Bombyx mori: one gene and its partner. The protein of the gene in region 1 interacts with the protein of each later gene in a biochemical or structural test. Links are inferred from orthologs where the notes say so. Each region holds a gene or a part of one and is shown on either strand. Other genes may lie near its edges.

The links.
Region 2: the proteins of kinesin-like protein costa (region 1) and serine/threonine-protein kinase fused form a complex in vitro, tested with the Drosophila melanogaster proteins (4 studies listed by BioGRID, with this or other methods). The link is inferred for Bombyx mori from reciprocal best matches to the Drosophila melanogaster genes cos and fu.

The regions. Positions count from the first base shown.
Region 1 is NC_085118.1:7,785,226-7,802,559, reverse strand, and holds kinesin-like protein costa, read left to right. Parts: upstream 1-8,712; 5' UTR 8,713-8,888; coding exon 8,889-9,165; intron 9,166-9,254; coding exon 9,255-11,191; intron 11,192-11,637; coding exon 11,638-11,856; intron 11,857-12,996; coding exon 12,997-13,133; intron 13,134-14,365; coding exon 14,366-14,507; intron 14,508-15,796; coding exon 15,797-15,916; 3' UTR 15,917-16,174; downstream 16,175-17,334. Other genes in the region: RpL9 (ribosomal protein L9), read right to left, coding at 5,214-5,545, 7,213-7,453. UniProt on the Drosophila melanogaster protein: Regulates cubitus interruptus (ci) processing by recruiting multiple kinases to promote its efficient phosphorylation.
Region 2 is NC_085116.1:10,502,097-10,519,675, reverse strand, and holds serine/threonine-protein kinase fused, read left to right. Parts: upstream 1-8,633; 5' UTR 8,634-8,820; coding exon 8,821-8,931; intron 8,932-9,297; coding exon 9,298-9,557; intron 9,558-10,041; coding exon 10,042-10,210; intron 10,211-11,144; coding exon 11,145-11,300; intron 11,301-11,423; coding exon 11,424-11,614; intron 11,615-11,825; coding exon 11,826-12,676; intron 12,677-12,784; coding exon 12,785-12,891; intron 12,892-13,552; exon of another isoform or gene 13,553-13,563; coding exon 13,564-13,704; intron 13,705-14,024; coding exon 14,025-14,119; intron 14,120-14,238; coding exon 14,239-14,372; intron 14,373-15,017; coding exon 15,018-15,370; 3' UTR 15,371-16,428; downstream 16,429-17,579. Other genes in the region: troponin C, read right to left, coding at 377-400. UniProt on the Drosophila melanogaster protein: Probable serine/threonine-protein kinase; maternally required for correct patterning in the posterior part of each embryonic metamere. May be involved in control of cell division during metamorphosis and ovarian development. May interact with costal-2.

The DNA of each region.
Region 1 (17,334 bases):
GCATTGACGCGAGCAAATGATACTAAGCTGCAATAATGTATTTAAAATAAATTTATGATTTAATTATGACATGTACTTCATTTTAATTTATATACGCAGTCTCAAATTCTTATAAAACGGTACTTAAATAGTTTTTAATTATGAATATCGAATGACAACAAATTCTGTTTTGTTAAATTTTACTGCCAAGGAATTATGACATATATTAAAAATTTTAATAATCAACTAACAACAATTGTTTGTTCTAATTCCTAAAATAACTTGTAAATATATTTTATTTTAATTTTAAGGTAACTAATGTATTAATTAATAATAATTTATCTTTATTACATAGTAGAGAATATATTATGAGTATTTATTTTGTCACTTAAGATAATTTTATTGATGTGAATGTGTAAATTGATTAATTTTACTGTAATTAACTTCTTACTTTTATTGGTTTTGACTAATATCCAACAAAACTATCCATATTTGCAGATGTACAATGTTCATGAGTTAGTGATGTTCAATAGAATAGTTTGAATAAAATTATTTACGTTGAAAATTCTATTCTTGTTTTCTTTCCAAATACCCAATTATCAAGTTCGTTTATTAGATATCCAAGACCTATAGGTATATAGTAAATAGAAGTATATATATTTTTTGGAATAGCTGAGCCATTCCCTGGGTAGGCGATAACGCCCCCTTATCGGCGCTGCAGGTCTAAAGGGGGCGGGGCGGTAAGAGACCCAGAAAAAAAGGGGGCGTCGTGTAGAGGCTTTGGAGGCGATTTGTAATTTAATCTAGGACTCTTACTGAGCTATAGTAGTTTTTAAGTAGGTGAAAAAATGGGGGCCCTAAAAATAATTTAAGGCAGTAGACAAAATAAGCTTGGGAACCCTTGCTTTAGCTTAATCAGCACTGCCAGGGATAGAGCCAAGCCTCTACCTACCAGTAAATATTCTCCAGAAGCAAGAAGAAAAATTCCTTAGAGTACTCCCCATGGAACATACGGTACAAAATACAGAGAGAAGCGAAGTCTCTCCGCAGACCCAGAAGGTTCCAAGCGATCCGTGAGAATAGAACTATCGACAATCCGAACGGCCCTCTTCTGTATGGAGTGAAATGGAAGTAGGTAGCTGGTATTTGGGAGTCCCGGCCCAGAGGTGTGAGCAGTACTCCATGCGAGGCCGGACCTGTGCTTTATAAAGCAAAAGTCTTTGTCCAGGTATGAAGAACCGGATCGCTCTAATTTCGCCAGTATTTTGATCGCCAACCTGGCTTTGCCCTCCAAATGACTCCGAAACGACATCGCTTGAAATGTCGACCCCAAGTACTCCATACTCGTACCCCATACTCGTGGAATGTTACAGGGATACTCCTTGGAATTGCGGCACCATGACAAAAGGATCCTTCTTCGCAGTGAACGCGCAAGCTTGTGTCTTCGACGGGTTGAATTGAACTAAGTTCCATTCGCCCCAGAGAGTTCTCCACTTCAGACATAGCATGACATTGATATACAGGATGAAAAGCGTGGGGAGAGCACCGAGCCATGTGGAACGCGGGCGTAATAGTCATAGTATCGGAGCAGCAACCGTCTACGACAGTGATGCTCCGTCCATCCAAAAAGCTAGCGATCATCATACAGTCTCTCGGGGATTCCGTAAGACGGTAACTTCGACAGAAGTGGCCTATGCCAGACCCTGTCGAACGCCTTCGCGATATCTAGGCTCACCGCGAGAGCCTCGCCCTTGCTCTCCAATGCTTCAGTCCACTTGTAAGTAAGGTATACAAGAAGATCGCCAGCTGAGCGACCATGACGGAAACCTTAAGTGTCGGTTACTGATCAGCTGGCGATCCTCAAGATACTTTAGGAGTTGAGTATTTATTATTCGCTCCATCACCTTGGAAGGCAAGGAAGTTATCGCGATAGGTCTATAGACTATGGGTCCGACCAGTCGCCCTTCTTGGGGATAGGGTGGATATGGGCAGTGTTTTGCCGAATGCTTGTCTTTCATGAAGACGGAACCCGGCTTGTACTATATCAGAGGTGATACAAACGCGTTAGCGCAGATGTCAACTCAGGGGCGTACGTTTCCAAAACCACTGCAGGTATGCAATCTGGCCCACTCCACTTATGGACGTCCAGGAGTCGCGAGCTTCCGCCGGACTGCACACTGTGTGAAGCAGATCTCTGGCAGGGAACTATCACACCAGGGGATGTTAGGTGGTGTGGCACCCCCGTCGTCCAGTCGAGTTCGAGGCGAAGAGTTTGACCAGAAGGTCAGCCTTCTCTTTCGCACTATGGGCCAAATTGTCATCGGTCTTGCGTAGTGGTGGGACACTAGACCTGCAATAATTTCCTTCTGCAGCTTTGGCGAGCCACCAAAAAGCACGGCTCCCGGAGAGATAGCACTTAAGTAGCTCTCCAATTCTGGAAACGTGCTCCGACTTCGATTCGGCAATATTTGTATTGTACGTCCGGGAAGCGACGTTATATTTCCGCCTTTCCTCTAAGACTTTCGGATCTCGAGGTCTCCTTGCATCGTTCCAGGCCGCGTATGCAAACGGCTAGAACGTGTGCAGCATCCCTACTGGGATTATTATACCAGGATTTACTCCGACTCTCAACGGGCACATCAGAGGAGAGAATAAACAATTCCATCCCCTGGACCCTGGAGCACCACGTCTTTAAGACGGTCCATACAGACTTCAGGATAACCAGAGGAAAAGCAGAACCCCCATGGGTAGGATGTATAAAATTCAGGCAATCCATCGCAATCTGCTGAGATAAACCGCCAAACTCTTCGATACCCGGTCGTTGTTCGACGATCAGGACGAGAGTGGTATGGCAGTGATCAGACGATCTTAGCGGAACGTCGACCGCCAAACTGTATTCGGCTGGATGGGTGGTCAGCAAAAAGTCCAACACAGAAGGCTTGTGCTCGTCAATATCGGGGACACGGGTGGTTCCCTCTTGTACATGCTCAAACAGAATTAAAGATAGATCTACACTCGCGAGCAAAAGTTTGGAATCACTTACTTGAAATTAGTTACGCGCGATCTCTTGTACTAAATTTTTTTTTAATAATCATAAAAATGACATCGTTTTAAAGGTTCAATTCTTAACTTTAAACTGATACTAAATTCATTAAAATCAAGCCAGTATTTAAGAAGCTATCCCGGATTAAGTGAAGGAATAACGTGTTTCAATAACGGAATAACGAAAAAGACGTGTTTCAATTGCTTGATACGTCGCGAGTTGCGACTTATTGACCCCTATAAAAGCACCTGTTATCGGATTTTCTTTATCAGTTGACTTTCACACGTTGACCGATACACATCTGCGCTAACTTTGATCCATTACCTTTTACGACAATGGAGACAACACCTACAGAAGCAGCACAAATCGTAGACCTATTGCAAGAAGGGCTCAGCCTGCGGGTTGACGCTCGTTGACTCCACATAAGCCAGTCCTGTGTTTCGAAAGCTTACAAGCGCTTTCAGGAGACTGGTGGCTTTATCCCGAGACCAAGATCTGGACAGCGCCGGTGCACATCGGAGAAGGATGACCGTTTTATCGTGTTAACCTCTCTCCGAAATCGGCATTTACATGGTGTCGACGTCCAACAGGAGCTCCGAGATATTCGTGGGGTAGCAGCCAGCGAGTGGACACTTTGTCGATGACTCAAGCTAGCGAATCTGACTCCAAAAAGGCCTCCCACAAGCACGAAACTCACGGTAGCTCACCGACAAGCTCTCCTTCAATTTGCTCGCACCCATCTTGATTGGGAGGTTGAGCAATAGAGGCAAGCCTTTTTCTCCGACGAGAGCAAGATGTGTTTGCACGGTAGCGACCGAAGAGGTCGGGTCTACAGGCGGCCTGGGGAGCGATTTTCGCAGTGCTGTTTCGCTGAAACAGTGGCTTATGGGGGCGCCATTGTATGTGGGCCGGTATTTCCTTCGATGGTAAAACCGAGCTTGTTTTCGTGCCTGGCGGGGGACGAGGAGGCGGTCTAACTTCGGACTGGTACATTTCCAATATTCTGCTGGAACATGTCTTTACCTATGCTGGATATATCGGTGATCACTTCCTCCTTATGCACGATAACGCTCGTTGTCACACTACCCGTGTAACAACTGTATACCTCGAAGAAGTCGGTATCGCCACATTGCACTGGCCATCACTCAGCCCTGACTTTAATCCCATTGAGCACGTGTGGAATGAACCGAAGAGGAAGTTTCGTTCCAGAACTCCTGCTCCTTCATGTCTGAATGAGCTGAAATGAGTCGTCTATTATCAAAGGTGGCAATCTGTGCATTTGGACAAAAAAAAATTATTGATATGTCAATACAGATTGATTTGAATATAATCGTCTCCTTCAAAGAATACGGTTCAAAACCTGCATTAAATAAAGGTTAATTACTTAACCTGTTATTTATCTAAGATGTCGTTCCGAAGAGTTTTGTGACTGCCAATGGAATACAAAGTCAATAATTCGTTTTTCTGATTTACCAATCATTGTCCAAAAGTCAGATTGCCGGCTTTGATAATAGTCGACTCAAATAGGCGTTGATTTACGAGTGGGAAGGTATCCCACAAGAATCAATTCAGAAGCTGATCATGTCTATGAAGAATCGTCTTCGAGCAGTTATTAGGGCGAGGGAAGGGAACACAAAGTACTGATACTTAATTTTAAGGCTAAATAATTTCTTTTACTTATTAATTTTTGTTGTTTTGTTCATTCATTATTTTTCCATATTTCCTTGTTTTCCTACCTCCTTCACTTAATCCGGGATAGCTCCTTAACTACTGGCCCGCTTTAAATGAATTTGGTATCAATTTAAAGTTGACAGCTGAACCTTTAAAATTATGTAATTTTTATGATAATTAAAAATTTATTTAGTAACCAAGATCGCGCGGAACCAATTTCAAGTAAGTGATTCCAAACTTATGCTCGCGTGTATAGTTGAAAAGACAGTTCCAAAGGCGAAATCACTAAATTCATCCAGCATTAGGTAAAACAGACTGGCAGAATCACTAACTGTTTTTGGCTATATATCAATGGGAAGATGGAACAAATCTATGTCAGGGATGTCAGTGATCAGGATGGGAAAAAGTTATCTGGAGTAGACATGCTATCTTCATATTCCTACTGTTTTTTAATTATTTTAAAGGTCTAAATTTAGTTAAAATAAATAAACAAATATATTATTATACTTATTTAATGTTTTTATATGTCATCTAGCACAACAGTTGTTTTCTCAGATACATAAAGACCATCCAAGAACTTTCTGATATCCTTATTCTTGACTGTAGTAGATTGCTGGATGAGAGCAGCAGAGCTAGAGACATCTTCCAAAGAGTTGCCTTCAATGATTAGTTCATCCTTTTGTTTTGGAGAGTTAACGACAGTCACACCAGGTGCCATCTTTACCCTTCTGATGTATTTCTCACCCAAGAAGTTACGTATCTCAATAATTGAATTACCCTCAGTGGTGACACAGTTAATGGGGAAGTGAGCATACACAGCACGCATCTTGTATTGGAAGCCTTTAGTTACTCCTGAAATAAAAAGCAAATCTAATCTTAGTATAAGGATAGAGTACATTACATTTGTGTTTATTTTACATTAGATTATACCCTAAACTATTATTTTGAATTTATTTAACACACTACAAACTACAAAGTGGGTGCCACCCAATTTTTCACTTAATGATCTATGGGCTCTGGTAACCACACTAGAAAAGGGCTAGCTATTAGATCATTCATCCATCTATGCAACATACAAAAAGTTTCAAAAAATTAATTTCATAATATTAATTTCATAATATTAAAAAATAAATATTTTGGCAAATGAATTTACAGTTTCCATGGTCACAGTTTTACACAAAACTTTTTAAAAATTAAATGTGGTTTGTGTTTCGTTTCCCCCTTTTTTTCCTACCTAATCTGATGGTCTATAGAAACCAAGTCAGCGTAGCCGGGCTAGTAGGTGAGCTCACGGGGCTCAAGCCTGACGATGTTGCTAACACAAACCCTAGCAAGAGCCATGCTTCGTAGAATCTACCACTGGATGGGAAACGCGACCCACTAAGAAGATCCGTGAGAAACTCAGTGGGCTGCGCCTGTGGGTTAATTTACTCGCCGAGCCCTTCTGTCACAAGCGACGGGTTCGACGAGAACGATGACCTGTGCTTGGGGTACTAAAAGCACCGTTAGTGGATCAGGAGGATTCGAGATGACGTCTTTTGGGCGACTGTTTGCCATTTAGTCTGCTGGATCGACTATGTAGTTACTGGAGGTCACGATGAAAGGGTTCTCATGTCGTGCCACTTTATAGAAATGGGAATTTCTCCAATGGTATAGTCTAAAATTGAAAAACTCAGGTAAAATTGGTTAAAATATTTATTAAACACCCAAGTTTAAAATAATTTTATGAAGTAAATTTTACTTATTTAAATTAAAAATGATTAGCTTTGTTTTTCTGGTGGCCATTGTAGGCAGACGAACATACAGCCTACCACATTGACAACAGCAATACCAGAGGCACAGAGAAGCCACTGCTTATCACAACTTGCTTTAGCTAAATTACCTTACAAAGTTGATTGTAATGTTTCTATATTTGAAATAACAAGCAAATAATAAAATTATACAACTGTGCATTTTATCCACACACTTTGTATTATATGCTAAGTCAGAGCATCATATTACATATATGGATATGTTTGAAACCATTAACATAAAAGATTTTTCACTTTTCCAAAACTCTAGACTTCAACCTTATAATTTGAACTTAATATAACATGCAATTTAATTCGCTAGAATCATTAATGACACTCAGCTTTACTCGTGATTTTGCAAGGTCTAAAATGGTTTCTGTATTTGTATGAAAATAAAAAAATAACAAAAATTAAAGAAAATGTTTAAAATAGTAAATTATTTTCAAAACAAAATCGCGGGGCTCTTGAGAAAGCGTATAACAGCATAGAAAAATTTTACTATCTACTTTTAAAAGTCCATGTAAAATTTTTGTTCACACAAAAATCCATTCAATTTGGAACTTGCAGTGATACACCTATTGTTTACATGTTACAATGTTTATTACCAACATTTTGTCAATTTAAACTAAGAATCACTACGATATTTTGTCTTGATTGTGTGCTCCAGTTTCTGATTCTTAGTCTATTATTAATCTACATTAATGATGTTCTAGTAGTAGTGTTACTTACCTTTAATCATGTTCTCTACATGTGAACAGACTGTCCTCACGGCGGCAAGCTCCTTTTTGGATCCGAACCATTTCTCAACCTTCAGGAGACGAGGGTTTACCATGCGAATGTCAACAGCCAAGTGTTTGAAGTTCCTTTTGAGAACTCCGCGGGGCCCTTTAACTGTCACCAGACGCGATTTCACATGGACCGTAAGCCCGTCTGGGATTTTGACTTTCTGATTTGCTACAATTTGCTTCATGTTTGGGCCTAAAAACAAGAGCAAGTATGAAACATAACCTCACAGATGTTTACCAAATTTTTTGACACTTTTTCTCAATTTATTACTAAAATATCAGTTATAACGCATTTCAGGTCGTTAAACATAATTTAAAAAATAATTGTGGCGAATTTTAATTATGTAGGATGCGAGATTTATTTAGATTTTTTTCGAAATAACACATATTCACCTACTTTGTTTGACACAAGAGCCGGAAAAAGATCGTTTAGACACGAAAAGATTGCCACTTGCCACTTGCCGAATACTAACTTATTGCCAGCTGTCAGTTGAACTCTGAAGTTGGTGATAAGATATTTTGTGAGTAATTTATTAATTGTCTAACTCGAAAACATTATGAAATTCAAGCAGTTCTAACCAATTAAATGATTACAAAATTTATAAAAAAATCTAAATTTCGTAATAATACGACTTTTAGTGATCGGTCACCGGTGATTTTGGTGATCGTCATGGTAGATTCCAATTACTGTTAGTGATTGGAATTGAATCTTATTATCTCAGACCATCAGCAATGCTTCGATATGAAAGAGGTTTTAAGAGGCTGGAAGAATCGGCAAAAAAAAATAGAACCGGACCGTCTATTGATTCTGCAATAATTACATTTTTAGTATTTTTTAGTTTCGTCACTTGTTCATTCTGATATCCACTTTAGTGAATACATCAAAAAATCTTTCTAGTATTTCTGGTTAAAAATCTAACGACGCACCTATTTTCGAAAATCAAGGCTAAATACAATTTATTGGGTACCCAAACATCGGCATTGTCGTTCACATTTATTAATTTACTCATAGACCTATATGGGTTTCATACTTTAATAAATTTACTCAATGATTTAAGGCAGTGGTCGACAACCTTGTCATCCAAAACAGCTAACTAGATAGATAACACACAATTGAAATTTATTAAAAGAGCATTTTTTAACACAATTATGCTTTGCTTTAGTAATCACGGATAATATTAGGGAAATGATAAAATGAAAATTAAATACCGAAACCTTTCGCGGAAGAACCCTAGCTGAGGGGACAAATAGGTTGCATGCGGCTCATGAGCAGCGGGCTGCCGGCCACTGGTGTAAGGGGTCTAATCTAATCTAAAGGAATGGGCTATAATTTTTTTTTGTAGAATCATTTTAAAATGAAAGAATTTTAAAATATTTGGCCTATAAGATTATAATCCAAGATCAATTTTAAAAGAAAAGAAATTTTGGTCAATGTCAAAAAGTACAGTTTGTCAATGTCATCATAAACTTGTAACTAATACAAATAAATGTATTTCGACATTTTCATTGCCTGTCTTTTTGGGATTTTTCTGCTAAAATATGGTTTTTAGACAGTAACGTATTCAGCTACGTAGTAAATACGAATGTACGGATTAGTATTATTATCAAACATCCTCAGTTATGGATATTCCAGTACAAATCGCCATTCGTTTGAAGCCCCCGAGCTTGGCAGATTCTACTCAATGCATATTCAGTAATCCTGTAACCCAAATTGTTATTACGGAAAGTGGACAGACGTTTCATGTGAATCGAGCTTTGCCTGTTGATTGTAGTCAGGCTCATCTGTTCAATTCGTTTATGATACCTCAAATAAACTGTTTCCTCGATGGCTGTGATACATCTGTTGTTGTTTTTGGTCAGAGTCAGACTGGCAAAACTTACACGCTCTTTGGTCCAGGTAATAAGCCTATAATGATAGCCTCGCACTGGTTTGACAGGAACATTAAGTAGTTTTTTTTGTTTGTTAAAAAATTGATTTTATTTCAGGCTTCGAGTGCATTCACAGTGAATGTGATCAAGGAATCGTTCCAAGATTTTTAACTGAAATATTTCACAAACTGAATCAAATGTCTGAGAGAGAATTTATACTTCACATAACATGGATGCAAGTTGTCACCAATAATATATTTGATGTTCTTGGAGTCGGTTTAGTTAGGTGTTGTAATGTGGAGGAAGCTTTCCAGTATTTACAGCTAGGTTGGAGACAGCAATGCCAGGGGAATTACCATACAGTGTTTACTGTGACTGTTGAACAAAAGTGGGTTGGAACTAATGGCACCTTGAATCATAGAATGTCCACTGCTAGTTTTTGTGAACTTGCAGCATATCCTGATCCTGGTCTTTATACTTTAGAAAATATATTGAAAGAACTATTAGCTGGAAATCCTTCTAAACAGGTTAATTATGATCAGTGCATATTGACAGCAATGCTGCGTGATTCATTTGGAGGCAGAGCATTCACATGGGTCATTGGATGTATTAGTACAGAACCTGAAGACTACCAGGACACATTAAAGATACTGAACCTCTGCCTTTGCTGTAGAGGAATCAAAAACTTTGTAACAGTGAATTTATTTGCTGATAATAATACACCAGTTTACTCTGAGAAGGCAATCAATAGTGCTGATAACAATTTCAATTTACAATTTGCAACTTCACAATGGATTAAGTTGGTTTCGAACGCTGAAGGTCTTTTCAATAAGATCCTTCAATCAAAATCACTTTCAGAAACTGATATCAATCAAGTTAGCGAATGGCTATTTTTGAAAGCTGAATGTGATGAATGTTTAAATGCAGATGGAACTTTAGATAACAAAGATGTAACAATAAAACAAGGCTTACCAAGAATAGCAGAAGATACAGAGCCTAGTGAACTAAGTGAATCTGATGTAGATTCTGGTTCTGAGGAAGATACTCATTCTGACACAGTATTTCAAGATAAAGTCGAAAAATTTATGGAATATTTTAGGGAAAAGAATGATGAACTCTTTGCAGATAGATGTGAAGAATACTTGAATCATATTGACTCTGATGATATCACAATTTCAGAAACAAGTGGGTCTCAATCATTACCTGTCATGACATCACATTCCAATTCTGGACGTAGAAGAACTATACAACCTGGTGAAAGCTTGTCAGGGGCAGAGCTGGAGTTGTTAAGGAAAGTTGCAGCAAAAGCAATCTCACCAGAAACTCAAAAGATACTAATAGAATCTCATAAAAAAGACATGGATCCGGAACCAAAATTAATTGAAAGGGAGTTACTCAAAATGATAGATTCTCCAAAGACTGAAGAGATTTGTAAAAAGTATAAGATAACAAAAGAAAAATATACACAAAAACAGATATTAACTAGAAAACTATCTAAAGAAATAAGTAGTAGTCAAACACAGCTAAAAGAATTGATAAACCTCTGTATTGCAAAAGAGAGGCTTATAGATGATCTCACTAAAGCTATGTCTCAGAATACTCAGAACAAATCTTATGATAAAAATTCAGACTCTAATTTTGTTGAACAAGATACTGTGAAGGAAATCAAGAGACATGAAATTAATTTAAAGACTTATAAAAAACAAATTGATCAAATAAAAAGACAAATCAAGAAAGATGAAAAACGTAAAAATACCTTAGATGTAGAACTTGTAAAAGATAAATTAAAACTGGATGATTTGTCAGACACTTCAATTGAAGTCAAAGATAAGAAAGTTAATTCACTGAAACATTTCACTAACAGAATCACGCAATTAGACAGTATACTAAAGGAGAAAACTAATGATTTAGCCAGTTCAGAGCACTCCAAAGAGAAAGAAGTGATATTAAGAAAAGAAATTAAAAACTTGAGAAAAACCAGAGAATGTTTACACGATCAAAGATGTAGTTTAGGTCATAAGAGAAAAATTTACAAGTCCCTGTCTGATTCTGAAGTGAGTGACCATTTTCGTAATACACAATATTTATTGGCTTTCATTAATTATTGTTTATATTTTTAATTTTTGTTCATGATTGACTTCCATGGTGAAGAAATAACATCGTTTAATAAAAATCAAACCAGCAAAATTATAATTTGCGTAATTACTGGTGGTAGGACCTCTTGTGAGTCCGCGCGGCTAGGTACCACCACCCGCCTATTTCTGCCGCGAAGCAGTAATGCGTTTCGGTTTGAATGGTGGGGCAGCCGTTATAACTATACTTGAGACCTTAGAACTTATATCTCAAGGTGGGTGGCGCATTTACGCTGTAGATGTCTATGAGCTCCAGTAACCACTTAACACCAGGTGGGCTGTGAGCTCGTCCACCCATCATAGCAATGAAAAAAAAAAATTATAATTATTTTCTTTTTGTATAAAATGTTGTGGTTGATGTTGTATAGGAACGCAAATTACTCGAATGTGAAGAAGCTATAGAAGCAATAGACACAGCAATTGAGTACAAGAACAATTTAATATGTGGCAAATCACCATCTGCATCTTTGTCTGATTCATTCGACAACAAGGACTCAAGAAGTAGAGGAGAACAGATGTTGATGGCTAGACTGGATAAACTTTCACATGATGAAATTAAGACATTGTTATATAGATATTTTCAAAAGGTACAGCATTTTCTTTTTTTTTCTATCTATTTTAGTAACCTCGAGGGATTATTCTAGATTCACCGAGCTAGTAGGTGAGCTCACAGGGCTCAAGCCGAGAGTGTTGCTAACAATGGCGATAGCAAGAGCAGTGCTTTGCAGAATCTACCACCGGATCGGAAATGCGACCCACTGAGAAGATCCGGCGAGAAACTCAGTGGGCTGTGTCTATGGCTTAATTTACTCGTCGAACCCTTTGTCTCAAGCGACGGGTTTGGCGAGGACGGTGACCGGTGCTTGAGGTACCTAAAAACACCGTTAATGGATCTGGAGGATCCGTAATGACGTGTTTAGGGCGACGTCGACTGTTTACCATTCGGTCCACCGGATCGGGTATGTAATTACTGGCGGCCACGACAAGAGGGTTTTCATGTCGTGCCGCCTTCTCAAAGTGGTGCAATGATGCCGACTGTAAAGCTGAACTCAGTCAGTAAGTACTGACTAAGTCAAGCTCCAGGTCATAATTGAAATCCAGGTTCTTTAGGAGCCATGTTGCTTCGACGGCTATCCTGCCAAAACGGAATTGAATGACTTGAAAGGGTTTCAACTTGGTGCGAGCCGCGTAAGCGAATAATACACTTGCATAGGTCATGACGGGGCGTATAGGTACAAGTTTTGTAGTGTCACCTTATTACGAAGATTTTGTCATGTTATACTCGATATAAAGAAATAATGTAGAAGCAATTTTCTCCATTGCGTTCCTACTTTCATTCCTAATTTCATGAGTCCTCTGGAACACTTCGTTGTGCTTTTGATCACCTCAATAAATTATGCCAGTGGAATCTAATCTTCATAATAAAGCTAATAATTATGTTTTATGCATGATAAAGCTTTGTTTTATTTGAAATATGTATCCAAAAAGATAGTATCTCGAGTCACAATAAAACTATTTTGTAAGGGAATTTGATGGATTCGAATTTAAACTTCAATGGGTTTTTTTTTCTTAATCTTCTGTTTTATTATCTTGATCGTTTTGATTCTCGTTAGAGATTTATATGTGTAATAATAAATGTAATAATAGTTAATTTGTTTCTCTTATTTGGTATGTTTTCTGGCAGATCGCTATTTGATACGTTTAATTGAACTTCAATGGTTATTAAGGTAGTGGATTTACGTGGCGCATGTGCTGCCTTAGAAGCCGGTGTAGCGGCTGCCAGTGAAGAGGCTACTATTTGGCGAGCCCGAGCTGCTGCGGCTTGGAGACACGCGCAACGGGTTCGATCACATGCTCACACGAGGTAATGATTTGCACAACTTAGGTTATTTTTATTAGCTACACATTTATTTACGACTAGCGACCCGCCCTCGCTTCGCTACGGAAACATTAAATTTTATTATTGATAGTTGAGTCCCGCGACGTTACCCGCGCTTATTGTCGTACCGCGGGTGACGCCGCGGGGCGAAGCTAGTCTAAAAAAAGTAGCCTAAGTTACTCCTTATATCATCAGCTACCTGTCAGTGAAAGTCCCGTCAAAATTGGTCCAGCCGTTCCAGAGATTGCAGAACATTATTTACGGATTACGGAACAAACAAAAATTGTAAAAAATGTTATTTTGGTGTCTATATATATTCATATGCATGTAGTAAAAAGCGGTTATTTCAATATTACAAACAGACACTCCAATTTTATTTATATGTATAGATTTTAATTACCAGAAAATTCACGTTCTTTAGTAGTTTTGAAAATTGATATGTAATTTAGTTATAGATAAATGAATTTCTTTTTTACAAAAGAATCACGATCAGAGTCAGATAGAGACATTAAAACATGAATGTGTCAGTTGCGTTGCAATAACGACAAACCTGCCCTTAGGACTTAGAAACCACGTTCCTTCGAGACAGAAGTGGGCCAAAGGATTTCATTATTTTCTTTTTTTTGGGTTCATGACGCGACCTTCCTCCATTCCTTACTGTAAGAAATAGGGCGAAATAAGATATAGATGTAATTGAAAAATGATGTAGACACATTACTTACAATTATTAGCACCTAGTAGTACTTAGAGAAGGTCAGTGTAGTAAATATAACCAGATCTTCAGATTAATCATGTAAAGTCGTTAATTATATCAGAAGAGCAGGACGTTATTCAGATTTTCTTAAAGAGATACCCTAAGAATTATAACTAATCTGAATATGCAAAACTAAAAATATTCGTACATTAAAATTAAAATTCTAATCCTAAAATGAATGTTTATGGTAAGAAATATGTAGATATTGATTTTGAACATGCTTTTATTAGTGTGATATACGTATATATGTAAAGGAATATTGAATGCATTTTTCTAATCACCATTTTTATTTATAACACTTATAGAGATTTATTTTCTTCTTTTTAGATAAGCTAGCTACAAAAGCGTTTTTATTTATAGTTTTAAACAATTATTTTTTCAACACTTGCCTGAATATTTACTATATAAGTATTTTTGTGACTTATGCGTCGGTTATGAATGCTTATGTTAAATTGTCCTCTAGACATTTCCAATCGTTTCATCGATGTTTGGACGGAGGAAACCCAGAGAGGGCCCTGTCTCTCGGCATGACAACAGATTCGGAAACATCGGATGATGCCATGCGCCTGGTCGACCGAATGAAACAGCTTGCAAGATGCAATCCGGTATGTATAGAACAGCACCAAATTCTGGGTTTCCAAACCTTTTTCACTCATGAACCATTCTTCAGTTTATTTTATTAGCTAAAACTAAAATGCCACTGGAGCGATGAAGCGGAGGAGATGCTAATGACGTCGACTATGAACGCGTCAATCAGGTCAAAGTCCCAATTAAAGTAATCTTAAAATCTTCCAACCGAAACTCATAACTCTTAGTGGTGGTAGGACCTCTTGTGAGTCCGCACGGGTAGGTAGCACCGCCCTGCCTATTTCTGCCGTGAAACAGTAATGCGTTTCGGTTTGAAGGGTGGGACAGCCGTTGTAACAATACTGAGACCTTAGAACTTATATCTCAAGGTGAGTAGCGCATTTACGTTGTAGATGTCTATGGGCTCCAGTAACCACTTAACACTAGGTGGACTGCGAGCTCGTCCACCCAGCCAAGCAATTAAAAAAAAAAAATTGTTGCAGTTTACTTTGGGAGCGAACAGTGCTGCTCGGTTTTATAATGTCATCTGTCTTTTTTTTTTGCCAGCGTATCCCATACAAGGTGTAGAAATTAGAAATGTTTGTTGTTCAATGCATTGTTAATTATATCGAGCGGACGAGTAATTTCAATAAAACACTGGCCCCAACTAGGATTATCGGTACTACGGGAACTGACAACCTATGTACTCTTATATATGTACAAATAAAGATATCAACCAATCAGACTGAAAGCAAACAAACCTATTCCTTCCAGAAATCTTTGCCCAATGTGGGAATCAAACCCACGTCTATTTGCCTTGGTACCACCCTGTCAGTCAAAACCTAACTATAAACTTAAACCTAACTAACGTAAAATTAAACTTTTAACTAAATTAACTTAAATTTAAATCAGAAGGTTGCGTGTTCATATCACGTCGGGGTCACCACTGTGGTTTGTCATTTTTCTCCGTATTCGCGGGAAATTTTCACTCGGAATAATATATCAAAGTTAAACACACTATTTCAATAATACTTCTAATTTTCAGATGTATGTACATACAATATTAAAATATAAACAAAAATGAGTAAACGACGCTAGACGATACTAAATTAACTAAAATCTCGATTTTATATTTAAGTTAAATCGGCGCACGAATCTTGTTGTGATGACGTCACGGGACAGCTGCGCGTTCGGGAATTCCGATCGCGCCCGATGATACCCGAGTGCGACTCGATATTTCAATGTTCCACGCTACAAACTTAAAATTTAAAAAAAACATGAAATAATTGTGAAAAAAATAATAATACATAAATACATTTGTTTTCAGCCTCCCATCATACCTAGTCAGAACCTGCGTCAGTTGATGCCCGCAACAAATTTACCAGTAGCAAAAGTCACGAAAGAGAAGAACAAACTTGTTATTGTACAGCAAAGCAAGAAACACTGACATTTAATTATGTTTTTATTTGTATTTAATGTTACTTTATTTTGTATTTTCATGTATATTCTTATTTTAATTTTAAAACTATTGATGCACAAAGAATCAATGCAATTATAAAGTAATTATGTACTTTCATTTTTATGCCTCATGTAAATATATTTATGCATATTGTAAGACTGTTTAATAAAATTAACATTAACAATTTTGATGTTTTCGAGGTTAATAAGGCGTATTGTAATTCAAAATAAATTCGATTAGGAAAGACGTTTTGTTGGATTTTTTTTCTTCCCATACCGATAATAAGTATTTTTTAACTTACAGTTATTACCAGCAACACGCGTAAGGTTAGTAAACATTTTTTTCCAATAATGTCTACATTCTATCTGATTCAACTAATCTATATATTAATACGTGAAGCAAAAACTTTGTATCCCTTTTTACGAAAATTGCACGGACGGAGGAGTATGAAATTTTCCACACTTCTAGAGAATATAGAGAAGAAGTGCACAATGCTAATATTTTTTTAAAATAATGCCTAAAAGATACATTACATCAGTAAAAAAACGTTACACACACTACATATAGTAATCGGCAAACTTCTTGAGCAAATGACCTTGACTGCGCAGAACCGAATTTTAGGTCACTTTGGTGGTGAGGGTGAGGCGGGCGGGTGACGGCAGGGGAAATCGTATCGAGCGCGTTATTGGTAGATCAGTCGAACCTTTCGTCCCGCACCGCGCCTTCATTCCGCTTGCTCCCAAAAGTACGCTTGCGTACAGTGGAAAGTCTATCGTTATTAATCGTTAAGTTATTTGTTATAATTGCTTGTGGACTTTGTTGCCATTGCTATTTGTTGAGTGTTTGTTGATTTTTTATAAAACATACACTATGCCGTGACAAACTGGTGTAGTACTTAAAAGAAAGGGTAGAAAATTTGTGTACGACGTATATTGCTTCATTATAAAACAGGGGAAGAATGATATGGAAAAATTAAAACAGACTTCGGAAGCAACAAAAACATCAGTGAGTGTTAGGTGCATTATTAACGAAGCTAAAGGCTCTGGCTTGCTCGCCGTGTTTCGGACTCCGGGTAAGAAAAGATCAGGGAAGAAGAAAGTTACCGGAATGGATAGTTTCGTTCAGTCTGTAATAAAAAGATGTAATCATAATAACTACATAACAAGCAGCGAAACTCCGTACCGTAGAAAGGCTTGGAAAAATTTAAAGAAGATATAAATTTTAATGGCTCGGAATGAAGCTTACGACGAATTATGAAAGAGCTAGGCTTCAGATGGAAAAAAAGAACAGAAAATAATCGGAAGCTGGTAAATGAAAAAAGTAACATTCGATTACTACGAATCGAATATCTTCAAAAAATAATTAATTATAGACAAAAAAGAAGACCGAATCGACCGAGTTGTAAA
Region 2 (17,579 bases), on another chromosome or scaffold:
ATTATTTTTATTAAATTATGAAATTTAAACAAAACGAAATAGATATTAAATTAAAAGTGATCAATGATGAAAATAAACATTGAAACTTAGTTTATTTATCTACAATGTAAAAAAAACCTAAGATCTTTAAAATTTCACACCGTCTTGACAGCTATATTAGTTGTTAAAATAAATTTGTTAACTGCTTCTTTCACAGCTGCTGTCGGTCAGTTGTCAACTGTCACAAATTCAACTGAACCGAATTACAAGCAAAACGACATATCTTGTTAATGTCCCTTGTTCATAACACACGCCTCATACTTTAATCTTCTTTTCAGCATATTTTTAATTTCATACAATTGTATGTTAATTTAATATTGCTATTGGAGACACCTACCCAGTCTTCGGTGTCCAGAACCATGGTTGATGTCACTAGTTAACACTGTGAGACGCACAACACGACTGGCCACAATTCCGAATGTTTCCAGCGTTCAGGGTTATTTTCTGCTGCCTCACGATATTCGGGGCTTTCGAATACTTTCCGTGGTATAAAGAAGGAGGGGAGCGCGGGCGGCGGGGTCCGCCGGCCCCAAGTCCTCCCCGGTTTCCTGTGCCACCGCTGACCAATCGCGTGAGCCTCAAACGGCAGGATGCTGAAGTATTTTTAGTAGAAACGTGGTTATGAAAAACGTAAACAAGCCATGCGTGCGCGTGAACGTCCGCCCGCCCGCTGTAATCTCGCCGCTCACCCAGTAAATGATCTTAGCGTTCGCTCTCACTAAATGTGAATAATTATAATTTTAAAGCCGTTTGTCGTGTGTAGGACGTTTACGATTATGATGTAAAGATATTTTTTTCATAATTTCTTTGATCAGTTTTATTAACTTTATATAAAGTTGCTGCTTGTAAAACTTTTTTTTGTTTTAATGAGAAAATTTAAGATATTACGTTTCTTGTGTTTTTTAGGTCACAACCTCACAACTCAGTTATTTTTAATATATTGACGATATTAATAAGTTGCTTGATATTCGCTATCACAAAATGCATTAATGACACAGGTGAAGGCCTAATAAATTAAAAAAAGTAAGAATTAAAATATTTAAAACGAATACTGTGGTTGTGAAGACGACAGTAATTTATGCTAATTAAAAGCTTATGATTTAAGAGTTCGAACACTCTGCATATTATACATCAACATGTTCAGCGATGCTTCTTGTATGTACTAAGATGAATAGTCTTCGAGAGTTGGCACAGTACGAGTCGCACGTCCTACAGGTCCTAGTTCACTGACCGCGTTGTAGCTTTGATAGTAAACACCTTCGATAATACAATTACTAAAGCAAGGATTAAAGGAAAATTGCCCGTACTTGATAAGACATGTTTAAATTAGTCAGGGTATTACTGAGAAATACATTTAACAAATCAGGATTTCAAGTCGAGTGAGATTTTGTGGAAATTGACGATTAAAAATTAATAAAGTCCGGACCTCACACAGAAACTATTGGATTGACAATTACGTTTTTCAACGCCCTCATATAAATACGCTGTAAGATCATTACGCACGACGCGACGTGATCTGATAAAATCACTTTCGGAAATTAGATATAATACGCTTTAAATTTATTATCATTAAATTTGACTGGTGTTATTCCATCTATAATGTAGTCATAATGGGTGGCTGCCAATACGAATGTGCCGGTCATAAATCAATCGCATTTTTATGAGCACTGGAAAACTCGAAACGGGCTATTTTGAGAAACGGTTATGAACTCCGCAGTTCATAAAACAACTCGAATTCAGGACGCATCTAAAACGGACACCGCTTTAATTTCAACATCGTTATTAGTCGAATAAATTATGTTTGAATAATCAAATGGACAGTCCAAGTGCTATCTGAACAGGTGCCTAAAGATATTTTAAGTTTAATATAACGTTATCTACAAAGATTCGACTAAGCGATTAAACGTTATATTTCTTTAAATATTAATGTTAAAAAGTTTACAGTGTGTACCGACATCCCACGCTATTCTGATTTGTTTATAGCGTGCACGGTTACGGAATGATACGCTTCAACATGAAATAATGCTCCGACCGAACCTTAGCCCAGTTCGTGTTTATTGTGTATGTGATTCTGAGTTTTATCCCGTACAGCTGGTTGCCGTATAATCCGTTTATAAATAGCGTATAGACAACAAAGCGTCAACAAATTTTCACGTATCGGATACCGACCGCTGTCGAATAATGTCTGGCAGTCGTAAATGCTCGTTTAAATTATTAAAATCGTTCTATTTTTTTGCACGGGCCTCTTCATTGTACTAGCACATTAGAGAGGATTTATGAATACTGTGAAATCCAAGTCAGATAACGAGCAGTTGTACTTGTAGATTTATTAGAAAATCGTTTTGATTAGTTAGATATGGATTCCTTCGAAATGTTCGGACTACTTCGGACAGATGGTCTATTTATAAAATTTATATTTACTATTATAATCATTTGAATATAGAGCGTGTAGTGTTTTTAACTTATCAGCACAGTGATGGAAGTATTAGAGCTCATGGTGGTTTTTGTTGTAGCGATTCATCTCGACGACCATTTAATTAATATGTAGGTGGAATCCGCATATCTGAAAGACCAACTTAGATTCCAAGAGGGTGCTTAGACAGTGGGCAGTTGTCGAACACTTCTCGCAAGAAACTTTTAATAAAGTTGGGATGATTTTAATAATCTAGTTGGATACCTCTAATTTAACCTCTGACTTTCTACATTTCTTTTGCATCCTGAAGGTACCTATGTCATGAATAAGCGAACGAGGTAAGTGGTATCATCTCCTTTGTCATCAGATATTCGACAGGACTAGTTTTGCACCAATTAATTGAACTGTTTAATTGCTGCAAACAGGTCAACGAGTCCACAGCCCAACTAAAAATTACCGGAGCCGAGGGATATTATAGCGTGGCGCCATTCGTCCGGGATGTGTACGCTGACGAAATATGGGACTCAGTATATCCAGACTGCTTGTCTAGCCATGGATGGTTTGACATTAGAGGGCCAAATACGAATAACGTACGAAAACTTTAAAACAAAAAAAGGATCAGCCTGTATTGTTATTAATACAGCTTTTATTTCAGTACCTTCGAGATTTAAGCTCTTATCTTTTTTTTCCTACCAAAGCTGATAGCCTTGAGAGGCTATTTCAGCGTAACTTTAGCTAGTAGGTGAGCTCACGGGGCTCAAACCGGAGTGATGCTAACACTGATCTTAGCAAGAGCAGTGCTTGCAGAATCTACCACTGGATCGGAAACGCGACCCACTGAGAAGATCCGGCGAGAAGCTCATTGGGCCATAAGCTCTTAGCTCTTGAAACTTTTTATAGTAGATGCATAAGTATTAAGTAGTTCATTCGCAAAGCTACTCTTGAGTTGTTAGGTCTCAATTGGAGGCGCTCGGGTAGCTGTTAGCAAATCCCGCCCTTCCTGGCTGAGCCCTTGCTCGCCCACCTACCCTGGTAAAACTAGAAAGGCCTACGGGCCACCAGCACTCTTAAACATAAAAAAGTGTGTTGTGTAATAAGGGCACAGATATTGTGGGGGGTAGGTACCGTCATTTACTTACATATTTCTGCCGCATCTAAACATAACCGTGACTGTGAACCCGTGTGTAATCTAACACAACAAAATGTGGACCTGGGATACACTTAGTCTGGCCATAAATATTGTTACAATTAAAAATAAACTAAATATTACATTTGAATTTGGAATCTATCATTTTAAATGATTGCTCATTGAGTTTTCTCATTTTGGCGCCAATACATTGTACAATATTTTGCGATATTAAAATGGAGTGGGGTGATAAAGAGAACCGAATCGCTGTGATTGCATTACACAAAGTAGGTATGGAGCCAAATGCAATTTTTAAAACTCTCCATACGCTTGGTATTAGTAAAATATTTGTGTACCAGGCTATTAATAGGTGCAATGAGACCTCCTCTGTTTGTGACAGAAAAAGATCTGGCCGTCAACGTAGTGTTCGTACGAAAAAGGTGGTCAAAGCAGTAAGGGAAAGAATTCGAAGAAATCCTGTCCGAAAGCAAAAGATTTTATCTCGGGAGATGAAGATAGCACCTAGAATCATGTCGCGTATTTTAAAAGATGACTTAGGACTTGCAGCCTATAAGAGACGTACTGGTGATTTCTTAACTGATAATTTAAAACAGAATAGGGTGGTAAAATCGGAACAACTACTGAAGCGGTACGCAAAGGGAGGTCATAGAAAATTTTTGTTTACGATGAGAAAATTTTTACAATTGAGCAACATTTTAACAAACAAAGTGACCGTATTTATGCTCAAAGCTCTAAGGAAGCTTCCCAATTAGTCGACAGAGTGCAACGTGGGCACTATCCGACTTCAGTGATGGTTTGGTGTGGTATTAGCTATGAAGGAGTGGCTGAGCCATACTTTTGTGAAAAAGGTATCAAAACATCGGCACAAGTGTATCAAGATATAATTCTTGAGAAGGTAGTGAAGTCCCTTAACAACCCCATGTTCAATAATCAAGAATGGTCCTTCCAGGAAGACTCGGCGCCAGGTCATAAAGCTCGGTCTACGCAGTCTTGGTTGGAAACGAACGTTTCAGACTTCATCAGAGCTGAAGACTGGCCGACGTCTAGTCCCGATCTTAATCCGCTGGATTATGATTTATGGTCAGTTTTAGAGAGTACGGCTTGCTCTAAGCGCCATGATAATTTGGAGTCCCTAAAACAATCCGTACAATTGGCAGTGAACATTTTTCCCATGAAAAGAGTGCGTGCTTCTATTGATAACTGGCCTCAACGTTTAAAGGACTGTATTGCAGCCAATGGAGACCACTTCGAATAAGCTTTTTATACTTTAAATTGTTTTATATTTATGTATTAAACTAACACACTGTAAAAGTAATAAATGTTATTTGCAATAGATTTTTTTTCCTTTGTCTCAGTATTTATGGCAAGACTAGGTAGTTTCAATACTAAGCAGTACGTCTTATCTCTTAGGTCATGAATTTATCCGCTTTTTGCAGTGCCTAATATTTTCATTTCGTGATGCAGTGTTACTGACGGTCGGCGATGACGTAAATTTCTATGAAAATGTTATTTTTCCTGTATGCAGTAAGTTTATGGCCGCATGTGTTGATGTACGAGGAGGGATCAAAAAGTAATGAGAACAACATACTCGTTGGTAAGAAAACTAAAATAAAAATAGTGGCAGGCATAGCTCAGATACATCTTTGTAATATTAATTTAAAAAAAAAACTTCGATTCTCTTTTGTTTTTTTCTGAATGTAGTCATTTGTTTGTTTCGTGTCGGAACGTGTTCTCGAAAACGGAGAAAAATGAAGAACGAGCCGTTATTAAATATCTCTGTTTAAAAAAGTTAACGTCGCGAGAGATTCATTGCGATTTGGAGGCAATATTAGGAGAGTCTGCTCCACCGTATTCCACTGTCGCAGGGTGGGCCTTCTCAATTTCGAGTACGGAGAATGAGTACGGAAGTCGAACATCGTTGCGGCCGTCCATCGACGTCAGTCACCCAAGAGAATATTGCGAAAGTCGAGAAAATTATATTGAGCGATAGAAGAGTTACCATCCGATACTTAATTCAAGAAACGGGTATTTCATATGGAAGTATTCAATTCATATTGAAACAATCTTTGAATATGAGAAAAGTCTCCGCAAGTTGGGTGCCGAGAATGCTAACCGACAGTCAGAAACAAAGTCGACTTGACATTTCGAAGACATTGTTGGACAAGTTTCAAGAAGATTCTGAATTTTTTTGTCTCGTTTCGTAACAATGGATGAAACATGGGTCCATCATTTTGATCCCGAGACAAAACAGCAATCTTCGCAATGGAAACGGCCATCATCACCGACTCCGAAGAAGTTTCGTGCCGTGGCATCGGCTGGCAAGGCTATGGCCTCAATATTTTGGGACTCAGAAGGGATATTGTTTATTGATTTTTTTGAAAGGGATTGAAGCTTTGGAAAAGCGCTGGACTCGCTATGTAGAGAGACTCGGAGACTATGTAGAAACATAAATTATTAAGTTATCAACAGTCATTATATTCTATCTCATTCTCACTACTTTTTGATACCCCCTAGTATATAAGTCGTTCCTTTGCGAAACTATGTTAAGTTGCAGATATAGTTTGTTTTACAATGATTGCCAACATTATTACCACTTTAAGATCGCTTTAGAATTCGTTAGCACTGCAGTAATAATCAGTGTGGGTATTGGAAAGTCAGGCATTGAATGATAATTACGATTAACGACTTACATCAATTTATATCAATAAATTTAACAAGTATTATTAATAAAAAAAAATACAACCAAAGACTCGTCAGCAGACAGAAGTGGTCGTGGACTAAAATATATGACGCCCGGTGCATTCATATCGAGCGATGCCATTGTGCCGGTGATCGAATCCCGTAAGCAGGTATAAATTTTTCTAATAAAATACGTAGAGCTACTTAACAGAGGCTCATGAATAACTTTTTTTATTGCTTACATGGGTGGACGAGCTCACAGCCTACCTGGTGTTGAGTGGTTACTGGAGCCCATAGACATTTATAACGTAAATACGCCACCCACCTTGAGTGTTGAGTGGTTACTGGAGCCCAAAGACATTTATAACGTAAATACGCCACCCACCTTGAGATATAAGTTCTAAGACTTCTAAGGTCTCAGTATAGTTACAACGGCTGTCCCACTCTACAGGCCGAAACGCATTACTGCTTCACGGCACAAATAGACGTGGTGGTGGTACCTACCTGTGCGGACTCACATGAGGTCCTACTTCCAGTAAAAATCGATCGACTCCAGTGACCACTCAACACCAGGTAGACCGTGAGCTCGTCTACCCATCTTAACAATAAAAAATACTTATTTAGACAGCTTTACTATTCAAAAGAGAGTGAGTATTTTATTTTGTTAGTTTTTGCGGGCTTGATTCTTATTACACGATGCTATTACTTCACTGTGGAAGTCAATCGTGAACATTTGTTAAGTACGTATTTCATTAGCAAAACTGGTACCTGGGGGTTTCGAACACCGTTGCATCGCTCGACACGAATGCAGCGGACTTCTTACCCTTTGGCCACAACAAATTCAAAATTACATTATACAACAAAATTGAGAATTCAACTTGTGTATGAAGGTGCCGGGGGGCATTCAGGTCAAAATGTCCGTGAACTGTGGTAACCGTCCAAATCCAGGCTGTATACGAGCTTCTCCACCCATCTAATGTAATAAAAAACAATTTCAGATAAATCAATAACAATTTCACTTCGCTATGAAGCTATTCTTTTCAAAAAAGGTTGACCTTTGAATTAATCCGAATCGAAGTATGAAGAATTTATTGAAAAAAATATTCGAATAAGGTTTTATGAAATATCTTCAAACAATGTAAAGAAAATAAATTTGTAGCTAACCTAATGTAACCAATGAATCATTTGGTCTTATCTATGGAGCCACTCACTGAGAATATCCGGGGAAAACTCAGGCGATTATGTCTGTGGATTAAGTTGCATGTCGAACACTTCGCCGCCCACTGAGTTTCTTGTTGGATATTCTTAGTGGGTCCGATTCAGTGGTAGATTCTGCGAAGCACTGCCCTTGCTAGGGCTGATTTTAGCAAATTCTCTCAGGTTGAGCCTGTGTGCTCATCTAACCGTAGTTGTAATAATTCCCGGCGAATAGGTAGGAGAAAAAAATATGATAAGAAGGCTACCTAATAGGTCGGGTTGCTTTTTCAAAGAAACCGCGTCTATGATCGCTTTTGGTCTAGAGACCTCGCCACTTTCCTAAGCCGGCTATTGTAAATTATTTTGTGGTCGTTTTTTGTAACAACAAACAAGGAATTTCAATTTTCCACGCTCGAATCGATTCTTTGGTTTTAGATTGAAAATAATAGTTTAAAATTACTAAAAAAAATAAGCTTTTATAAAAATTAAACTAAAAATAGAAAATAAATTTTAATAAATTTGAATTAAAAATAGTGTAAGAAAAAAATGATCTTATTGTAAAAAAAGTGTGGGTGGTTTTCAGGATATGTATTATCAAAATATTTATAACTGTTATAACCATGCACCCCACGGTTTCTTTTTACAATAAATTCATTTATTCTAAATTGTATATCTGTTATGGTGTATATATGGTGCTAATATAGATCCATTAATTTTGAAACTTCCTGTTTTTATTTATTGTTTTGCATTTCTCTGCTCCAGTCTTTTAACGTACATGATATTATGTATTGTCTATTTAGTGTTTCTTCAGGTTTAAATGTGTAATAACGTTGGTTTATTAACTGTTTATTATCTGTGAAAGTGCACAAATATGGGAAAATGAAACAAAGTCGCTGGACGTAACTTCTCGGGATCCTTCAAAAAGTCCACTGAAAAAATCAGTAAATGACCACCATTTTACTGAGATTATATTTCATCGCATATAATCTCATCATATTTCATTTAATTTTATCCCAGTTGATTAATGTCTCAAATTAATCATCTTCATTTCATTTCATGTCATGTTTCACTTCATTTTATTTCATAATGTCATATTTCATAAAATAAAATAAATTTATAAAAGATTAGGCTGTATGGTATGATACTTTTGCCTTTCTATTTGGAAAAATAAAATTACTACATTACGAAGAGAACAAAATATTTTATGTTTATTTACAATACATATGTACGACGACTGGAGCAGAGAAATGCAAATCAATAAATAAAAACAGGAAGTTTCAAAATTAATGGATCTATATTAGCACCATATATACACCATAATAGATATACAACTTTACATTTTAAAATGAATAGCTACGTTATAAATTCATTCGTCGGCGAAGGCTCATTTGGACGTGTTTTTAAAGCAAAACACAAAGATACCGATGCTGTAGTAGCCTTGAAAGTGATAAGGAAGGTATTTATTAAGTTTTTATGACTTTAAATACTTGGTGCCTTCATGATTTCCTAATTTTTTTCTATAAATGTATACCATCAATACAAATAAATTACAAAAAAAACTTGCGAGTGCTTATTAAATCTTCATTTCCACTATTTCCAAAATAATATATTTAATAAGATCATTAATAAAGTGTGATAAAATAATAATTGTACACACAGAGAATGTTATTAACCAGGTTTTCTTACTAGTAAAATTTTAAATGGTCTTATTCAGTTATCATGATCCCAATGTCTTCGCTGTCATAGATATCACGGTCAAACCTCTCGTCATCCACATTAGTTAATAAACAAATATTCTTACACAATAATTCAACATTTTCAGAAAGGTCGCTCGTCTAAAGACTTAAAATGTTTGAAGCAAGAATGCGACATACAGAGGCAATTGAATCATCCAAACATAATTCGGATGATAGACAGTTTCGACACTGATACAGAATTGGTAGTTGTCACAGAATATGCTGAGAAAGAACTACATGGAATATTGGCTAAGGAGGGTTGTCTTAATGAAGAACAAGTGAAGAAGATTACTTGGGACCTTGTGTCTGCACTGTACTACTTACATTCTCATAGAGTTTTACATAGGTAACTTGTTTGTTTCATATTTTATATCAAATAATAATACTAAACACACATTATTAATATTATATCATTATTGATGTAAATAATAATTATATCTAAACATTTTTTGGACCTTGGCAGGGGGCATAGCTAGGTGAAATCAGTATAATTTATTCATTTTTTCTCTATAGCCTGGCTTATAATAGAGACATTCATCTTATATCTCAATGTGGACAGTTATATTGATTGGTTCTGGATACTGAATCTATTAAGATTTATTTAAATAAAAAGATTAATTTGTAAAAAAATTGAGAGTAGGATAGAAAGTTATTATTGTTCTTATAGTTAATATTTAATTTGATCTGAGCTTTTAACGTTGAAATTGGATATTGAAGTAATTCTCATTGCATAAAATTGAGAAAGAAAATAATCATAGAAATATCTATGATTCATTTATTATGATTTTATATTATTCCTGAACATTTATCATACAAAATAACAATTTTAGAGACCTCAAGCCACAAAATGTGCTATTGGATAGTACAGGACGTGCCAAACTCTGTGACTTTGGTCTTGCAAGAATAATGACAAATGCAACACACATTTTAACATCCATCAAAGGCACACCATTGTACATGGCCCCCGAGTTAATTGATGAGAAGCCATATGATCATCAGGTAATTATATTAAAATAGCATTATATAAACAAAGAGTTATACTGTAATTTTCTGTGGAGATGACATGTTTTTACCTATGTCTTCCGTCTGACCTAACTATTCTTAGTAAAACTATAATTAAAAAAAAAAAACTGGTCAATCTGTTGCTTTGTTTTGATGTGAAAGGGCATACAAATACACAATCTAATAACAAACACACTTTCACATTTATAATATTTGTATAGTGTGGAAGTATGGATACTTAGTATGCATGCTGTTCCATCAATGCAGCTATGCTATTATATTATATAGTAATACTTTCAATTTTCAAAATTACATTAATTATTCTTAGTAAAACATTATTTATAACAATAATTGACATATTTTAGAGTACTTTTATTTTAATTTGTCCTTAGCCTAATTAATATAAATCAATAATTTCAGAGATTTTCCTGTACGTAATTAAAAAAAAAAAAACATGAATTTATGCTAATGATAGTTTATTCAACAATATTTTTATGTATGCATATATGGTAGGGTTTATATATTAATTAATCACTTTGCTATAAACAAAAGTGATTATATCGTTAAAACTTCATTTTATACAGATATTTCTGTCACTTTTTATGCACAAATATGCATCAAAACCTCATGGAATATTGTTATTAATCCTAAAGAGTTGCAAACATTTTTGTACATTACAGGGCTCCTTGTGGAAAATTTCAGCACCTATAACAACAGGAGTTAAAAAAATTTGCTATCACAATACTGACTAAATATCAATATAATAATTATCCAAATTGTTTTTTTTTAAGTATAATAATATGGGTGAATAAGCCACTTTGTGCTATGTGGTTACCTGAGCCCATAGATATCTCAATGTGTTTGAGCACACCTATTTTGAGACATTATATTGAGATCTCAATTGTATTTTTATTTTGTGTATTTTTTTCAGGCAGACTTATGGTCACTTGGCTGTATTGTATATGAGCTAATTGCTGGGCAACCACCTTTCTGTACAATGTCTATATGGCAACTTGTCCGCATGATTAGACACAAACCTGTACAGTGGCCTAGTTTCATCAGCACTAATGCTCGGACCTTCCTACAGGTTTGTTTGCTTTTGAGCTCTCACTTCAAGCTTTTAAAACTGCACAAATAATTTAACATTTTACGTTTAATTAAGTTATACTATTTGTACCATTAGTTTAATAGTATTAAAATATTTATTTAGGGCTTATTGCATAAAGATCCTTTGAAAAGAATGAGCTGGCCAGAAATATTGGAACATCCATTTGTAGCTGGTCACATTCTTATTCTACCAGAAGACGTCCAGAGTGAATCACCATTTACCAAGCCTTTAACACACAGTCAGCAAGAAGCCAAGCAATTGCAGCGGGAAAAAATATGCATTGGGAATGCAAGGTAATAAAAATTACTTACAGATATATCAGATTTGTAATTAATATCAGAGTTAAAGTTAAAAGAACTTCAACACAGAATAATATTTAAAAAATTAATTTTAAATACATTTACAAAATTGATTTTCAAATAAAAGTAATCACAACAAAATATAGTATATTTAGAATGTATTATAGTTAAACTAATTTTGTAAAAGACTTTCCTTTGTCATTAGAACAAAAAAAATGGAAGGTGATCCACTAAGACTTGTAACCAAAGAGCATGATTTAAGGAATGTAAAAGTCATGCAAGCTTTGGAATGTTTGCCTATGTCTGATGACGACAGTGTCAGGGCCACTAGCGCATTCAGTGTTCGAGACAGCCTCAAAACTGATGATGAAGAGCAAGCATATCCCATTTCAGTAGCCAATGCAAAGCTTTTACGACATGAATATAATGTAATGAACAACAGTAATCTCCTTGTTTGTAATCTAGAAAACAATATGGCACAGCTAATGGCTTGTAATAAAAAACAGATAGAATTAAATACAAAGAAAATGGAGAAAATAGATGAAGAAAAACATATAACAGAAAAATCTGAAGAATCTAAAGCGGATGCAGTCAAATGTGTTGAGGATGAACAGGTTACTGAATTTAAACAGAAATCTAAAACAACAGATACTGCCTCACACAGCTTAGAGAATCCTAAAAGTTCAACAAAATGCAGCAGTGATATTAGTTGCAAGTCTGGATTAAGCAAAAGTGTACCACCTTCATATAAGCAGAAAATATTACAGTTCTCTAGGGATAAACTAAGGTTTGGTAGTGGCGGGAATAAACTGACAAGAAGCATTAAAAGATCATTTAGTATTCGAAGTTGGGATAAAAAAAGTGATAGTCAGAGAAGAATCAGTGAACCAACTGTGGAAATACCAAGTATTATTAGTGCTGAAGAAGAAAAACATTCAAAGGAAGAAAAGGATGAGGATGTTGAGAAGTGTGAGGTAATTGAAGATATACCGAATGATCGAGATGTTGCAGATAATGATAGAATTCTCAAAGTCGAAGAGAATAACAAACCAGTTGGTAAATATATTAAATTTAAAAGAATGCTTAAATTTGATGTGTTAAAGTAATATCCATAAATTTTAATACCAAAGTGTACATTTTTTATAATGGTACTTAAAATTTCAGAGCAGGAACCATCAAGCATTGAACTAGAAGAATGGGAGGCTTTCTTGAATTCAAATATCAGTGAAGTTATGGACGGCGATGTCGAATCTTTGACTCAGTTGAATATGGTATATTTATCAAATAATATTGTGGATTGTGTTGGATTCTTCATAGTTTTAATGATTTAATGAATTTCAATATTTTTTTCCTTTTTGTTCTTTACGATTGAAGGATTACTGGTGGCCCGGAGGCCTTTCCAGTTTTACCAGGACAGGTGGGAGAAGACAAAGGGAATTTTTAATTATATCAACCATATTATGCAATGCATATTGCCGCAATTCAGTGGCTGACAGAATGCACAACCAAAGCCGATGAAATAAGAAAATATTTGTTTCCTCTAAACATAATGCATGGTGCCGTAGACATAATTAAAAGTGCTTTTACATTATTTCTCATGTTTGGAATACTTCACAGTTTTCGTAGTCACCGACGACTATATCATATTTTATATATAAATGAAATAAAAATTAATCATAAATAAATTATTTGAAACATCGATAATATTATGATATGAACCGTAAATTTTTTTTAATTGCTTTTGGATTTACGAGCTCACGGTCCACCTGGTGTTAAGTGGCCCATGGACATCTACAACGTAAATGCCGCCACTCACCTTGCGACATGAGGTGTAAGGTCTCCGTTTTAACAGTACAACGGCTGCCTCGCCCTTCGAACTTCGCATTACTGCTTCACGGCAGAAATAGGCATAGTTTGTATTAAGTTCCGTTACCTGTTTGCAGGTGAGTATGGTGGTTGGTGTGGTGGGCAATGCAGCGCGCGGTGCGGGGGGCGGCCGGGTCTGCGGGGCTGTGGCTGCGCTACTGGCGCTGCCCGCTCTGGTGCACACCCTGCCGAGACACACGCTACTCAATATACAAGATGTTAGTATTTTTTGTATTCTATAATAAATAAATATGAAAATGCTAGGAATTAAACAAAAATAACAATTTTGTTTTTCCTTTGATGTGTCCCCCTTTTGTTTGTTTTATGTTTATTTCATTCAAAAGTTTAGGTCTTTTATTTATCGATTGAGGCACTACGAAGTCTGCCGGGTCAGCTAGTACCAAATAAAACTCACCTTTAATTACAAAGATAAATGTAGAGTACCTACTACGCGAAATGTCTCTTAAATTAAATAGCCTTACACTCCACGATATAATAAATGAAATCGTTTTTCAAATGAGCGACTTTCATTCACCAGGTATATTTGGAGGCGAAAGTGCCTTATAATTTCGTAGCAGCTATAAACACATTAATGGAGAACAGTGAGGACAATGACGACGGAGCAGAGGATAGGTAAATATTACCATTTTGAACTTGTAAAAGGTTTGCTTAAAATCTGCTTAAACTAGATTTGCCATTCCTAACAAGTACCGCAATTTTCGCATTTAAAATTGTATTTTTTTTATTCGCAGATTACAAGGTGTTAGTCGTATGGTTGAAGTGTGTGCGTGGCTGTGCGTTCGTTCCTGCAGAGGAGTGAGACAGTTTGCCACTGCCCTAAGTGCCTACAACGCGTATCCGGTGTTCACTAAACTGCTTAAGCTTGGTAAGAGCGCCATTCTAATAACATTAATAATAATATTTTTATTGACCGCGACTTGGATGTTAGTACAAATTGAGAACTACGTTAGAATATTTAGAGCTATAATTGCACTGCAGCGATTCACGTAGCTGCAGTCCAGACGGCAATCGTGTTTAGGATGCGATGAAAACCACCCCGCCCATTGTACAATTATACCTGCTTGTTGACTGTTTTTCAATGTTAAATATGTTTTGATGTGCAATAAAGTACACTTTTCTCTCTCTCTCTCTCTTTATCTCACACACGCGCGCGCGCAGGCACGCACGCACTTACTCACTCACTCACTCACTCACTCACTCACTCACTCACTCACTCACTCACTCACTCACGCACACACGCACTGGATTGGACAACAATTATTCCAATGTTTTCATCTGAAACCCAAATTTTAAAGCCTAAAAATTTTTTAATATTAATTCCAAAACTAAATTCCCATACTGGAAAAGGAATAGAGAACCCTCTCTCAATAATCACTAAATCACCGCCCATCAAACGATTTTTTTATCTAAATCTTACATTTTATTTTATGAATATAAGTTAAAGTGAGAGTTTAAAAATACGTTCTCATTAAAATAAGTAAAGCGTATAATTCTTAATATTTCGTTACAGACACGAGAAATCCCAGGATAGTCCTGAACATAGTCGGTCTCCTGATCACCATACTGCAGGACCTACCGGAACTAGCTGACGTTGTCGAAAGAATACTATTCGAGGACAAGAGTTTTAATTTCATAAATCTACTCGAACAGCCAAACGACGCACTGAGAATGAGAGTTTGTATACTGATAAGTCTACTTTGCACCTTCTCGTGTACCGCTTTCTCTGCAGCAATGGAAACGAAATGGAGTAAGAAGGAGAGCGATAGTTTGGAAGCGCTCCACGGTCATTGTAACGTTACTCTGAACAGGGCCGCAAGACTGGCCACTAAGGAGCTCAGTAATATGCCTTTTTATTCTAATTAATCGAGGAAAGATTGAAATTTTATTGGAAAATTTCATGGTAAATTACGTAAAACGAAACGTATTTCGAACACAATATTAATATATTATGCTATTGGATGGAACGATGTAGGAATAATTTGAGATAATCGACTTATCTTTGTTTGCTACATAGACGAGAGATCCTATCTAGTATTTAGCTGATACCAGTGGCTATATTATTGTTGGATTGTTTACTCTTTGGAGGGCGAAATAGACTATTTATACAATATATTTAAGATATACAATATACTTCGGTATCACTTGGCGACGATAAATTTGTGATTTCTTAGAGGTCCGGTAACAACATATCATCAGGTGCGCTGTCTACTCTTTCATCCATCCATAAATAGAAAAGTTAAAACTGTGCTTATTATAGCTAAAAAAGATCAAATAAGCAGATTATTAAACTGTAAACTTGTAAATAGAAATAAATAAACGTATGAAATAAATTTTCAATAAGCCCATATATATTGACAAGTACTTATCGGATTAAAAGACGTAATATATTTTTTTTATTAAAAATCTTAATACTCACTGCCATTTTAAATAAAGACTGATGTTTAATTCCATTTACATTTTGTGAGCAATAAGGAATTGCAAATATTTACATTCTTAATGTTTCTGATTATATATTTAATCATTCATGATTATGATTAACTCCAAATATTTTCCTTTTTCTATAACCCGTCTAAAAAAAATAGCCTGAACGCGATTCGACTTCGTGATGTCATATAGACCCAAAATACACGACAAAATAACAGAAGATCATACACATCGATTTTATCATAAATTGTCTTGATGATTTGAAATCTGACATAGTCGTCGCATTCAGGCCACGATTCCAAAGAAATATTCCGCTGTAATCCGTTGTAATCAATTCTACTAAAATAAGATTAAAATGATAAACGAAAATAAAATTTATAAATGAACAGATTTTTTACACCCTGTATATTTATTACTAAAATGAAATCGCATCTAATTGTAATCAGAAAATATAAGTAAAGATATCAACTATAATACATCGAATATTAAATTTAAAACTTGTTTTTTTTTTCAACCCAAATTATTATTTTTTTGTAGAAAGACAGCTGATCTCACGGCACATCTTCAGATATGAAGTCGATATATTCATTGTACTATATTATAATAAGGACTGTCCTGCACGTTCAAACAGCAACGTAATGAATGGTTCATAGCAGAAATGGTACGAATATTCTCTCCTAACCATACAAGTTTACAATGTACAGCACAGGACAATGTGCATCAGAAAAAAATTTTTTTTGATTGCTTAGTTGGGTGGACGAGCTCAGAGCCCACCTGGTGTTAAGTGGTTACTGGAGCCCATATACAACTACAACGAAAATGCGCCACCCACCTTGAGATATAAGTTCTAAGGTCTCAGTATAGTTACAACGGCCGCTCCACCCTTCAAACCGAAACGCATTACTGCTTCACGGCAGAAATAGGCAGGGCGTTCCCAGGACTCCCAAGAGGTACTACCACCAGTAAAAAAATCACTGACTTGCTTTCTACCTATTGCTTAAAAAACGATACGCTCTTAATGGGATTTTGAAATTAGCGATTCTGGAATTAGATTTTGCAAGTTGAGATAGTTGTATACTTCCAAATGATTTCTATAGCAACAACGAGAACCCTAAATAATTCAGCGCCTGTCTTTATGTTGCAGCAATGTTACTCGGAGATAAATTATCTTCTATATATTATTATATAAAAATTAATTGCTGTTCGTTAATCTCGCTAAAACTCGACAACGGCTGGACTGATTTGGCTAATTTTGGTCTTGAATTATTTGTGGAAGTCCAGAGAAGGTTTAAAAGGTAGATAAATATGAAAATGCTGGGAATTAAATAAAAATAACAATTTTGTTTTTCCTTTGATGTGTCACCCGTCGGACGGATTTTGTTTGTTTTAAGTCAATTTTATACAATAGTTTAGGTCTTTTATTTATCGATTAAGGCACTACGAAGTCTGCCGGGTCAACTAGTAATCAATAGATATAATGAAACTGGAACTAGGTGTGTTTGTACACTGAAGAAAATAATGAAAACAGAAGGAGGGTAACTAATGAAGAGTAATATCACATATATACCAGCGATTTTTGTAATAATTTTCTGTTTGTTTGTTGGTTTTTGTACGTGCCCTTCTCTAGAACTATTAAACGGATTTTTAT